2 linked regions of the Arabidopsis thaliana genome follow. The protein of the gene in region 1 interacts with the protein of each later gene in a pairwise test. Each region holds a gene or a part of one and is shown in the gene's direction. Other genes may lie near its edges.

Region 1 (4,865 bases):
TGTTAATGAAGTAAACCCCTTTTAAAAGCTTTTAAAATCCCTTGTAAATTATCTATAACACTTACTTATGTTTTAAAAATGATTGTAAACTACGCAAACAGTTATGCAAATGCCTTGTAAATCATTCTACGACAGTTAATTAAGCTTTAAAAACGATTGTAAAACTTTATTACCTGTTGTGAGATAGAACTCTCTCAAGGAGAAACAGATAGGTTGAGAATCAACTCTAAACCAAAGAGTTGATCCTTTTGTTTTCACTCTCTGCTGCATGAGATAGTGAAAGATTTTCCCAGAAAATCTGATTCCCTTCTTAGCCTTCATTTTTGGTCCCAATTCAACTAGAAGACCAAGAAACGAACTTCTAATCTTCTGAAATAAACACTCGCCTAAAGCTTCCTCTACTTTACTAACTAAATTCCAATCCAAGTATTGTTGAACGGTTCCCAGTGCAATAGATTCCTCACCTTCTCTGTAGATCTGTTCAGGCAATGTAAGGATTTCACTCTCTGAATCCATCTGCAAAACATGTTATGAAACATCGTCAGATCTACTATAAAATCGACTATAAAATCGATTATAAAAACGGTTACCGTCGGATCTATCGATATCTCTGGGGATTGTTTGCGTCGTAGAGAAATGATCTGAATCCGTCAGCGAAGAACAGATTTATCGGAGAGGAAATTCGTCAGCGATTTTGGGGTTTCTCGGAGAGAAAATTTGTCGGCGATTTTGAGTGAAATCGGAGAGGAAATTCGTTGGCGATTTTGAGTGAAATCGGAGAGGAAATTCGTCGGCAATTTTGAGTGAAATCGGAGAGGAAATTCGCCGGCGATTTTGAGTGAAATCGGATAGGAAAATTCGTTGGCCAAAACGAAGAAGTTTGTGCCAAAACGAATTGTATTGTGAAACGAATGTGAAACCTAATCATTCAGTAAGGGTAAGACAGTCATTTGCCATATTAGAAAGGGTAGTTTTAAAAATGGCCTTCAGGAAAGGACATTTTTACAAAAGGTTATTAGAATAAGGGCAGTTTTGCAAATCTCCCAATTAAATATTAAAGTATTTTGAATCAATGGCATTTTTGTAATTAATCTAAACCGGAAGGATATTTTTTGGTTTATATTTTATTTCTCTTTCCTATTTACGTAAATAACATATTTTTATGTATAAATTCTTAATATTCTGTTTATCCATGTATATATTTTTAACTCACCCTATAGTTTTCTAAGTAATTTAAGTATTTTGGTTACATTTGGTTATATTTTGGTAAAATATAACTAATATATTTTTGGATAAACTAATCAGGCATCTCGGTTAGATTTAGGTATAGATGAGTAAAAAACTCGAACTCGACCTGAACCCAAAAATATTTTGAGTATTTTTGATTATTTTTCAATTCTTACTAAAATAACTAAATCGATCCAAACTCAAACCAAAACCGAACCAAAATTTTAGAATACATGAATGGTTTTTAACTTCATACCTAAATAGATCCGATACTCAAAAAAAAAAAGAACCGAACAGATATGAGTACCCGAATATCTACACCTGCCCAGTATTATTATTATTATTTTTTTTGAACAAACACCGGTACTATTATTTTACCAGCTAATTTTTCTCCCTTTAAGAACGTTTTGGACCTATTGGTCTATTGGATACAAAACTATTGTATTCATTTTAAATTTTTAATGGGTCTTCTTTGTTAATAAAGGCCCATTAAATATACTATCCAGGCCCATTTAGTCCAACTACTTATTACACTGTTGATTAATCGCCGTTTAGATATTTTGCATTGGAGAGAATCTTCACCGTTCAGAAAACTGAAGATCGAAGATCACCAAAACCGGCCAAAAAGTATAGTACACGTCCGAAGATTCTAGATCCATCATGCCATTTGCATTGCATGGCCTAACTCTCGTAGAAAACCCAAACAAATTCTCCCCCACACAAATAATGGGACAAAAACCAAATTAAACCAAATTGTTTCCCTATTGAAGAAAATAAAATCTTCCACAAATTTTATGAATTTTTCATAAAGTCGGCAACTTCACACGAGTCCAGGTCGATTCTTAAAACAATGATCTTTAACCATCCACGTGTCAAAATCCCACCTTAGCTTACCTCATTTGTTCTATTCCAAATACCTATTCTATCCCTTGGATCTTGACTTATATGTTCATAAGAAAGTGTACCAGATAAGGGTATATACGTCATTTACAGTCCAGCTCAACGGTTATAAAATCCTAATTCGTGAGGTTTCTCTGAAGAACAAACACAAAAATGGCGACGGTACCATTGTTCACCCAGTTTCCCTGCAAAACCCTAAATCCAAGCTCATCAAACACTAAACACCAATCGAAATCTCCGATCCTACTACCGATTAACTCAATAAATCGGCGATCGGAGATTGGAGTCTCTGTTCATCGGCCAGATTTCAAAATCCGAGCGACGGACATCGACGACGAATGGGGTCAAGATGGAGTGGAGAGAGTATTTGCCTCATCTTCAACCGTATCGGTAGCAGATAAAGCAATCGAATCCGTGGAGGAGACGGAGAGGCTAAAGAGATCACTAGCGGATTCGTTGTACGGAACAGATCGAGGTTTAAGCGTATCGAGTGATACGAGAGCTGAGATCAGCGAGCTCATCACACAGCTCGAGTCTAAGAACCCTACTCCAGCTCCTAACGAAGCTCTGTTTCTCCTCAACGGCAAATGGATCCTCGCGTAAGTACTTTTAGTTCTGATACTCTCCTAGGCACGGCATGTAATATTAGTTTTGTCCCAAACATTACTCAAACCGGTGATCTCTAAGCTTCGTCTAGGATCTTTACCAATTAAGTTAATGATACTTTAAACTTACCGGTGGAAGTTTAATTTCCCGGTGAAAACTGTTTAGTTCCGTTATGAATGATTTGATTTTGATAGTGAAAAGCAAGTTGTGGTTACAAAGAAGATTTAATTATGAATTTGGATTATGATTCTGTGTGTAGTTATGAGCCTTCGTTTATTTTTAGCCGTTATTGTTATGAATCAAGAACTTAGTTTTTAAGTGTTTATCTCGTGAAGCTACACGTCGTTCGTGGGGTTGTTCCCATTGCTCTCACGAAGAATTGAACCGTTGGTTAAAGTGGATGAGATCTCACAAACCATTGATTCCGATAGCTTCACCGTTCAAAACTCTGTCCGGTTCGCTGGTCCGTTTTCCACAACGTCGTTTAGCACCAACGCTAAGTTTGAAATCCGAAGTCCTAAACGTGTCCAGGTAAATCAAGAATCATCCCCTAAAACCACAAATGGCAAATGCTAATGTTACATAACCTAATTGTTTTTTTTGTTTTGTTTGTTGTAGATTAAGTTCGAGCAAGGTGTTATAGGGACTCCTCAGCTAACGGATTCGATTGAAATACCGGAATCCGTGGAGGTTCTTGGTCAGAAAATCGATCTCAATCCCATTAAAGGTTTACTTACATCAGTCCAAGACACTGCTTCTTCAGTGGCTAGAACCATTTCAAACCAACCACCATTGAAGTTTTCTCTGCCTAGTGACAACACGCAGTCGTGGCTGCTCACAACTTATCTCGACAAGGACCTTCGGATCTCGAGAGGCGATGGTGGAAGCGTCTATGTGCTCATCAAAGAAGGAAGCTCTCTCTTAAACCCTTAAATCATCATAACTCTCATCACATCCATAGTAACATATATACAAGTATAGACCCATCTGTCTATGTTTACTAGTGTTGTAACTGTTATATAGCTTCTTTACCTGTTGGAGAGTTATAAACTTATAATGGATGTTACTCTTGGTATACTGTACTACAATACATATACATAACTACATACTTGAACAGGCCAGTTATGGGTTTGCAACAGCAACACTTAGCATTGGTTCAAATTTGGTATACTAGGAGGGTTTGCATTCTGTATGGCATTCGGTTTTCCGGTTTAGTTTCAGTTCGAACTTTTGACTCGGATTGGATCAGGTTGTCAGCATTTTGGTCTGGTTTGAGTTTACAAAGGGGATACCAAATTGAAACCAAAATTTGTATCTAGTTCTGTAATTTTAATTTCAGTTATTTTTGGTTTATGAATGGTGGTAAATCTATTTATTACTTAGAAAACCGGTTTGTTACAAACCAGGTATCTTACACAAACATTTGAAAGAAACAACTGATCTTTGTTCACTCTTAGCTACGAAACAAATCAGCACAAACCTCGTAAAAGATCTCGAGAATGGCAGACCGATATTCGCGAGGATTCATCGATAGATAGTACTCCAAGAGGCTTCTAAGTTCATCTGCTTCTTTGATCTTGTTTGCTACAATCATCTCAACCATAGAGTCTCTAAAATCCTTTCTTGGATCAAAAGAACATTTCTCCATCGCCATCATGACAATGAACTTAGTGCTACTGATACTACCCTCACTTCTTCTTCTTCTTCTTCTCATCTTTTGTTGTCTTATCTTCTCTTGATGTGTGGCTTCTTGTGTCTCTCTGATCATCTGCTCTAGCTTCTCCTGAACCATGTAGTGTGCTAGACTAGAGAGCGAACCGTGATGGTCTGAAAATCTTGAACTCTTGTCTGCTTCCACCGAGGAAGAAGAAGAAATGCTGAGTCTTGCTTTGTTGCTGCAACACAAAGCTCTGCAGACTCTTGCTTCTTTTGTTTGGTGTTGTGATTGTTTGTTATGCTTCTCTGCTTTTTCTTCTGCTCTGTTTATGAGTTTCATGTTGAAAGTTAAGTCACATTATAATCAGGTTTTGAGGATTTTAGATGTTTGTAAACGCAAATAGAAAAGAGTTCTAATTAAAACATTTATGTGTAAATTGAAAATGTGGGGCTTGTTCATCATGATTATGTCTTGA
Region 2 (5,224 bases), on another chromosome or scaffold:
ATTAAGGAGAAAAACAAAACCTGAGCCACTCAGCCACATAATCACTGGGAAAATCAATTTCGTATTGTCTCGAAAAATATAATTGTTTCAACGACAACAAAAAATCAAACATGCGGTGTGGTGGCAAAAGTCAAACGTTTATTTAATGAAAGTTTATCAGAGAATCGATGGGCCTAGCCCAGTCCAATAGGTGATTCACGTCTCACTATTTTTGCAGCTTCACAAAAATGGTAAGTTGGTAACTTACTATTTCGAGCGAAAATAACTCAGTAATAACTTCCAGATTCGTCAAATTTCTCTTACCTTGTAATGAAGTTTAGATGTTTTAGCTTTATGTATAAAAATTTAAGAATATGGTCTAATTTTATATAATTTTCTTATTATCATTTTGTATTTGATATCATATTGACAAAATTTAACAAATAGATATTAGTTGTACTTCTATGTGACCGCCACTTTATTCAATACTACCTTTTAAGTTTTAACAGATCCGTGTAGCAACTGATCATCTCAAAATATGTGACACATAGTATACTATACAATATGAGCTGGTTTTGTTTTTTATTTTATATCGAAAGATATTTTACTTTATCTGACAGCTGCGAGAGATCCTAAAAAAAATGAATTAACTTTAAAGAAATTGCATGCGTCTATCTATCTACGTATATCTCAAAAATAAAAATAAAATCAAGGTCACATGACTCATATCCAGTGAATAAAAAATATTCATGAAATCGTAAATAAATAAATAAAAACAGAAATTCATATATACGTTTTTAGTTATATAACTATACGATTGGTTCAGTGTATTTGTTGCCCAACCAAAGCTACTTTCACTTCACATATCATTACATGGTCCAATGATTATGGAACACGTATTATTATTTTTGTTTAAAAACAAGTAAATAAATAAAACAGACACCAAATAAAAAAGGAAACACAAAGATATTTACGGAAGTTAAAAGAGAGGTGTTGTCTATGTCAGTGCAATGAACCTCTTCGGCTCATCTTTTCCCGCCATCCCAACTAACAGATCTCTCACCGTACACGCCATCCTCTTCACCAAATCTAATGACTTTCTCTCTGTCTACGTGGCGATCATCCGGTCTGTTTTCCGACAATAATGGGACCCATTTGATTGTTATTTCGAAAATGATTTTATTTTTCTTCAATATTGTTTTTTTCTTCAATATTGTTTTGGAAGTAAAAAGAATCATCTGTTGACAACACAACACTTCTTGCCTTCTCGAGTTTGATTCTCCTCCTTTCTGTTTTTGGTATCCACCCGATTGTCATTATTTTATTTTGAACTCTAGAACCAAAAATATCAGAGCAAGCTCTCTAGTCAGTAAATTTTGTAATTATTATAGTACCTCATTTTTATTAGTAGCATTAATGTACTAGTGTGGTCAGTGTAGATGAATATATTTTCTACTAAACTAATAAAAATTGTATCATAATTTGTATATTTTTTGGTGTTTTCATCTTTTACTATAAAATATATTTTTGTGACATATGGCATGTTACACTAAACAAAAAATAAAATAAAAGAAATTTGTTTTTGTATAAAATAAGTAAATTACGTTTTTTGTCGACCAATTTTGATTAAAGCTCAAAAGAAAAGAGCAATTCCTAAGAGATATTATTTTTATGTGAAATAAGTAAATTACTCATTATGTAAAAAGTTTGGATTTATCTTAAATCTAATTTCATAACGTTTAATGCAAGATATTTTGGTAAAATAGGAAACGTATAAAACATCTGTATTCAAAACTTCTATAAAGATACCCAATAATAATGGAGGGGTGACACGATAGTAAATAGAATAAGAAATAAAATTTAATCAAGTCAAAATAAAATAAATACCCTTTGTTTTTGTTTCCACAATTCCTTAAGTCTTTCTAATTACTTTGTTGTTCACTAAAACATCTCACATTGTGCTATTTTTTTTAATAAATAAAGACCTCTCTCTTTAAAACTGATTATCCCCTAAACTATTTGTTTGTGAGAAAGAAAGAGAAAAAAAAGTTTTTTTGGTTGGAAATTAATTGAGGGAGAGAGAGAGTTCAGAATCTCTAAATGGCTGAAACGAATTGCCCAGAATCCAGGAAACTCTGATTTTAGTCCTTTTTTCCTCGGGAAAACGTTTGCTTTTTCTTTTTTGTGTGTGTTTGGTTCTTTAATTGACAAATCTCTCTCTATCTGTTTCATGTGCTAGCTAAGGTTGTCTTCACTTTCCTCTAATGAGTCATGAGTTTCTTGTCTTCATCTTCATCTAATAAAGTTAACAACACTCTCATCAATTTTTATTATGTTCAAATCTGTCTGACTTTTCGTTCTTTTCTCTTACACCCAAGCGTTTTAACAATCTAACATCTGTCTCTTTGAATACTTAGATATCCAACTTCAATTTCTCTCCTTTCTCTTCCCAACTTTGATTCCTGATTTGGGTTTTTGTTAAAGTTCAAGAAAGTTCTTTTTTCTTTTTTTTTCCTCCTTTAATGGACGAAGTTTCTCCTGCAGTCGCTGTTCCATTCAGACCATTCACTGACCCTCACGCCGGACTTAGAGGCTATTGCAACGGTGAATCTAGGGTTACTTTACCGGAAAGTTCTTGTTCTGGCGACGGAGCTATGAAAGATTCTTCCTTTGAGATCAATACAAGACAAGATTCATTGACATCATCATCATCTGCTATGGCAGGTGTGGATATCTCCGCCGGAGATGAAATCAACGGTTCAGATGAGTTTGATCCGAGATCGATGAATCAGAGTGAGAAGAAAGTACTTAGTAGAACAGAGAGTAGAAGTCTGTTTGAGTTCAAGTGTGTTCCTTTATATGGAGTGACTTCGATTTGTGGTAGACGACCAGAGATGGAAGATTCTGTCTCAACGATTCCTAGATTCCTTCAAGTTTCTTCTAGTTCGTTGCTTGATGGTCGAGTCACTAATGGATTTAATCCTCACTTGAGTGCTCATTTCTTTGGTGTTTACGATGGCCATGGCGGTTCTCAGGTAATGAATCGATTTGGTTTCGATATGATATGATCGGAAACTGCAAAAACTTGGTTTTTGACATTTGTTTTTGTGTGTTTAGGTAGCGAATTATTGTCGTGAGAGGATGCATCTGGCTTTGACGGAGGAGATAGTGAAGGAGAAACCGGAGTTTTGTGACGGTGACACGTGGCAAGAGAAGTGGAAGAAGGCTTTGTTCAACTCTTTTATGAGAGTTGACTCGGAGATTGAAACTGTGGCTCATGCTCCGGAAACTGTTGGGTCTACCTCGGTGGTTGCGGTTGTCTTTCCGACTCACATCTTTGTCGCGAATTGCGGCGACTCTAGGGCGGTTTTGTGTCGCGGCAAAACGCCACTCGCGTTGTCGGTTGATCACAAAGTAAGTATAGATGTTTCTATGAATGAATTAGTACAATCATATATTCATTAGGACTTGCGGTTTTTTGTTATGGTGTTACCAATCATAGCATGTTTCTATAGATTAGTTAATGTACTTATAGCGTTTGGGTCTACATTTATGTGTAGCCGGATAGGGATGATGAAGCGGCGAGGATAGAAGCTGCCGGTGGGAAAGTAATCCGGTGGAACGGGGCTCGTGTATTTGGTGTTCTCGCAATGTCAAGATCCATTGGTAATTATTTAACTTTCTCTTGATAATGATCCATGAATTTGGTTCTTTTAGTTGTTTCCTTACATTACAACCCGTCGCGAACAGGCGATAGATACCTTAAACCGTCAGTAATTCCGGATCCAGAAGTGACTTCAGTGCGGCGAGTAAAAGAAGATGATTGTCTCATCTTAGCAAGTGATGGTCTTTGGGATGTAATGACAAACGAAGAAGTGTGCGATTTGGCTCGGAAACGGATTTTACTATGGCATAAGAAGAACGCGATGGCCGGAGAGGCTTTGCTTCCGGCGGAGAAAAGAGGAGAAGGAAAAGATCCTGCAGCAATGTCCGCGGCAGAGTATTTGTCGAAGATGGCTTTGCAAAAAGGAAGCAAAGACAATATAAGTGTGGTAGTGGTTGATTTGAAGGGAATAAGGAAATTCAAGAGCAAATCCTTGAATTGAAAAAGAAGGTTTGGAAGAAAAGTGAAAAAAAAAGTTTTGATGGTGGGTAAAAATTCTCTTTAGTGAAAAAAGAAAGATAAAACAACAGGTAATAATTACATTGTAATATTAATTTCCTGCTTAAATTTGTTATTTACTTTCTTAGTCTTCCCACCATTATTTAATCTTTTTATATTTATTTTACTAACATGATATATATAATGTACATGGGAATAGTGTAACTTCCAAACAAAAAGCCCCCTTGTATTTTTTTTTATCTTGGGGTTAGTTGTAATAACACTACATTCGTCTACGTAAATATTTAGTGTTATTATTTGATGTTTCATAACTTCTCTTTGTGTGTGTGTTTTCGTTAGAGTGATATAGTTTCAATAGTATTGACATCATTTTTTCATTACCAAAAATTACATTAGTCTTCATCACCATAATTTTTTCATTTTGTTTAAATCTACTAAACCAACCAGAATATGGGATGGTTGAATAAACGTCACAATAATTTGTAAATCCATGTGAATGTTTAGATTGTAGGTGATTGAAGACAAAATAATACATACTTATATCACAAGTTAATTGTAAAGTGGTGTGTAAGGCAGCTTTTATCCCCAAGAAAAATCATCTTTTTATCACATCAACATTATTCAACAATTACACAAAAAGGTAAATATCATATTTAAATGTGAAAGAATATAAATAAAATTAGTCTTGTGAAAAATTTAATCTCTTCGAATAACATTGTTTTATTATTCTTATTTCATAAAAAAGGAAAGAAGTAAGCGTTGGTTAGTAAAAGAGTGTTTTTTACTTTCTCAAGAGTTTCAATTTCTTCTTCTTCAGCTTTATACGCATTTAAAGCGCCGACGAAGTTGAACACTGAAGAAGAAAAAGAGGAGACGACACGATTTTTGTCTGAATTATCAGATTCAGATTTCGTTTAATCGCCAGATTCATTTCGAAAAATCTTGCACTAGATTCTCTTATCTTCGGTGAGCTCTCTCTGCGATCTTTGTTTTTTTTTCCGAGCAATTTCCGGTATTTAATGAAACGATGGATCGACGAATTGATTTATTTGTAAAGCTAATCCTGTAGACAACTGAGCTCAAAACATTCAATTTTTGTTAAAGAGACGAGTCGTATCTCGA

Evidence for each region.
Region 2: the proteins of FIB (region 1) and ABI2 interact in binary tests that used the Arabidopsis thaliana proteins (3 or more experiments, as listed by UniProt).

Annotation. Positions count from the first base shown.
Region 1 is NC_003075.7:1,929,881-1,934,745, forward strand, and holds FIB (fibrillin), read left to right. Parts: upstream 1-2,002; 5' UTR 2,003-2,280; coding exon 2,281-2,726; intron 2,727-3,068; coding exon 3,069-3,264; intron 3,265-3,351; coding exon 3,352-3,666; 3' UTR 3,667-4,070; downstream 4,071-4,865. Other genes in the region: AT4G04025 (transcription repressor), read right to left, coding at 4,129-4,143, 4,214-4,729. UniProt on the Arabidopsis thaliana protein: Probably involved in light/cold stress-related jasmonate (JA) biosynthesis. Contributes to the protection of photosystem II (PSII) against light stress.
Region 2 is NC_003076.8:23,085,219-23,090,442, forward strand, and holds ABI2 (Protein phosphatase 2C family protein), read left to right. Parts: upstream 1-1,903; 5' UTR 1,904-2,501; coding exon 2,502-3,014; intron 3,015-3,096; coding exon 3,097-3,393; intron 3,394-3,539; coding exon 3,540-3,645; coding exon of another isoform or gene 3,646-3,668; exon of another isoform or gene 3,669-3,729; coding exon 3,730-4,085; 3' UTR 4,086-4,410; downstream 4,411-5,224. UniProt on the Arabidopsis thaliana protein: Repressor of the abscisic acid (ABA) signaling pathway that regulates numerous ABA responses, such as stomatal closure, osmotic water permeability of the plasma membrane (Pos), high light stress, response to glucose, seed germination and inhibition of vegetative growth.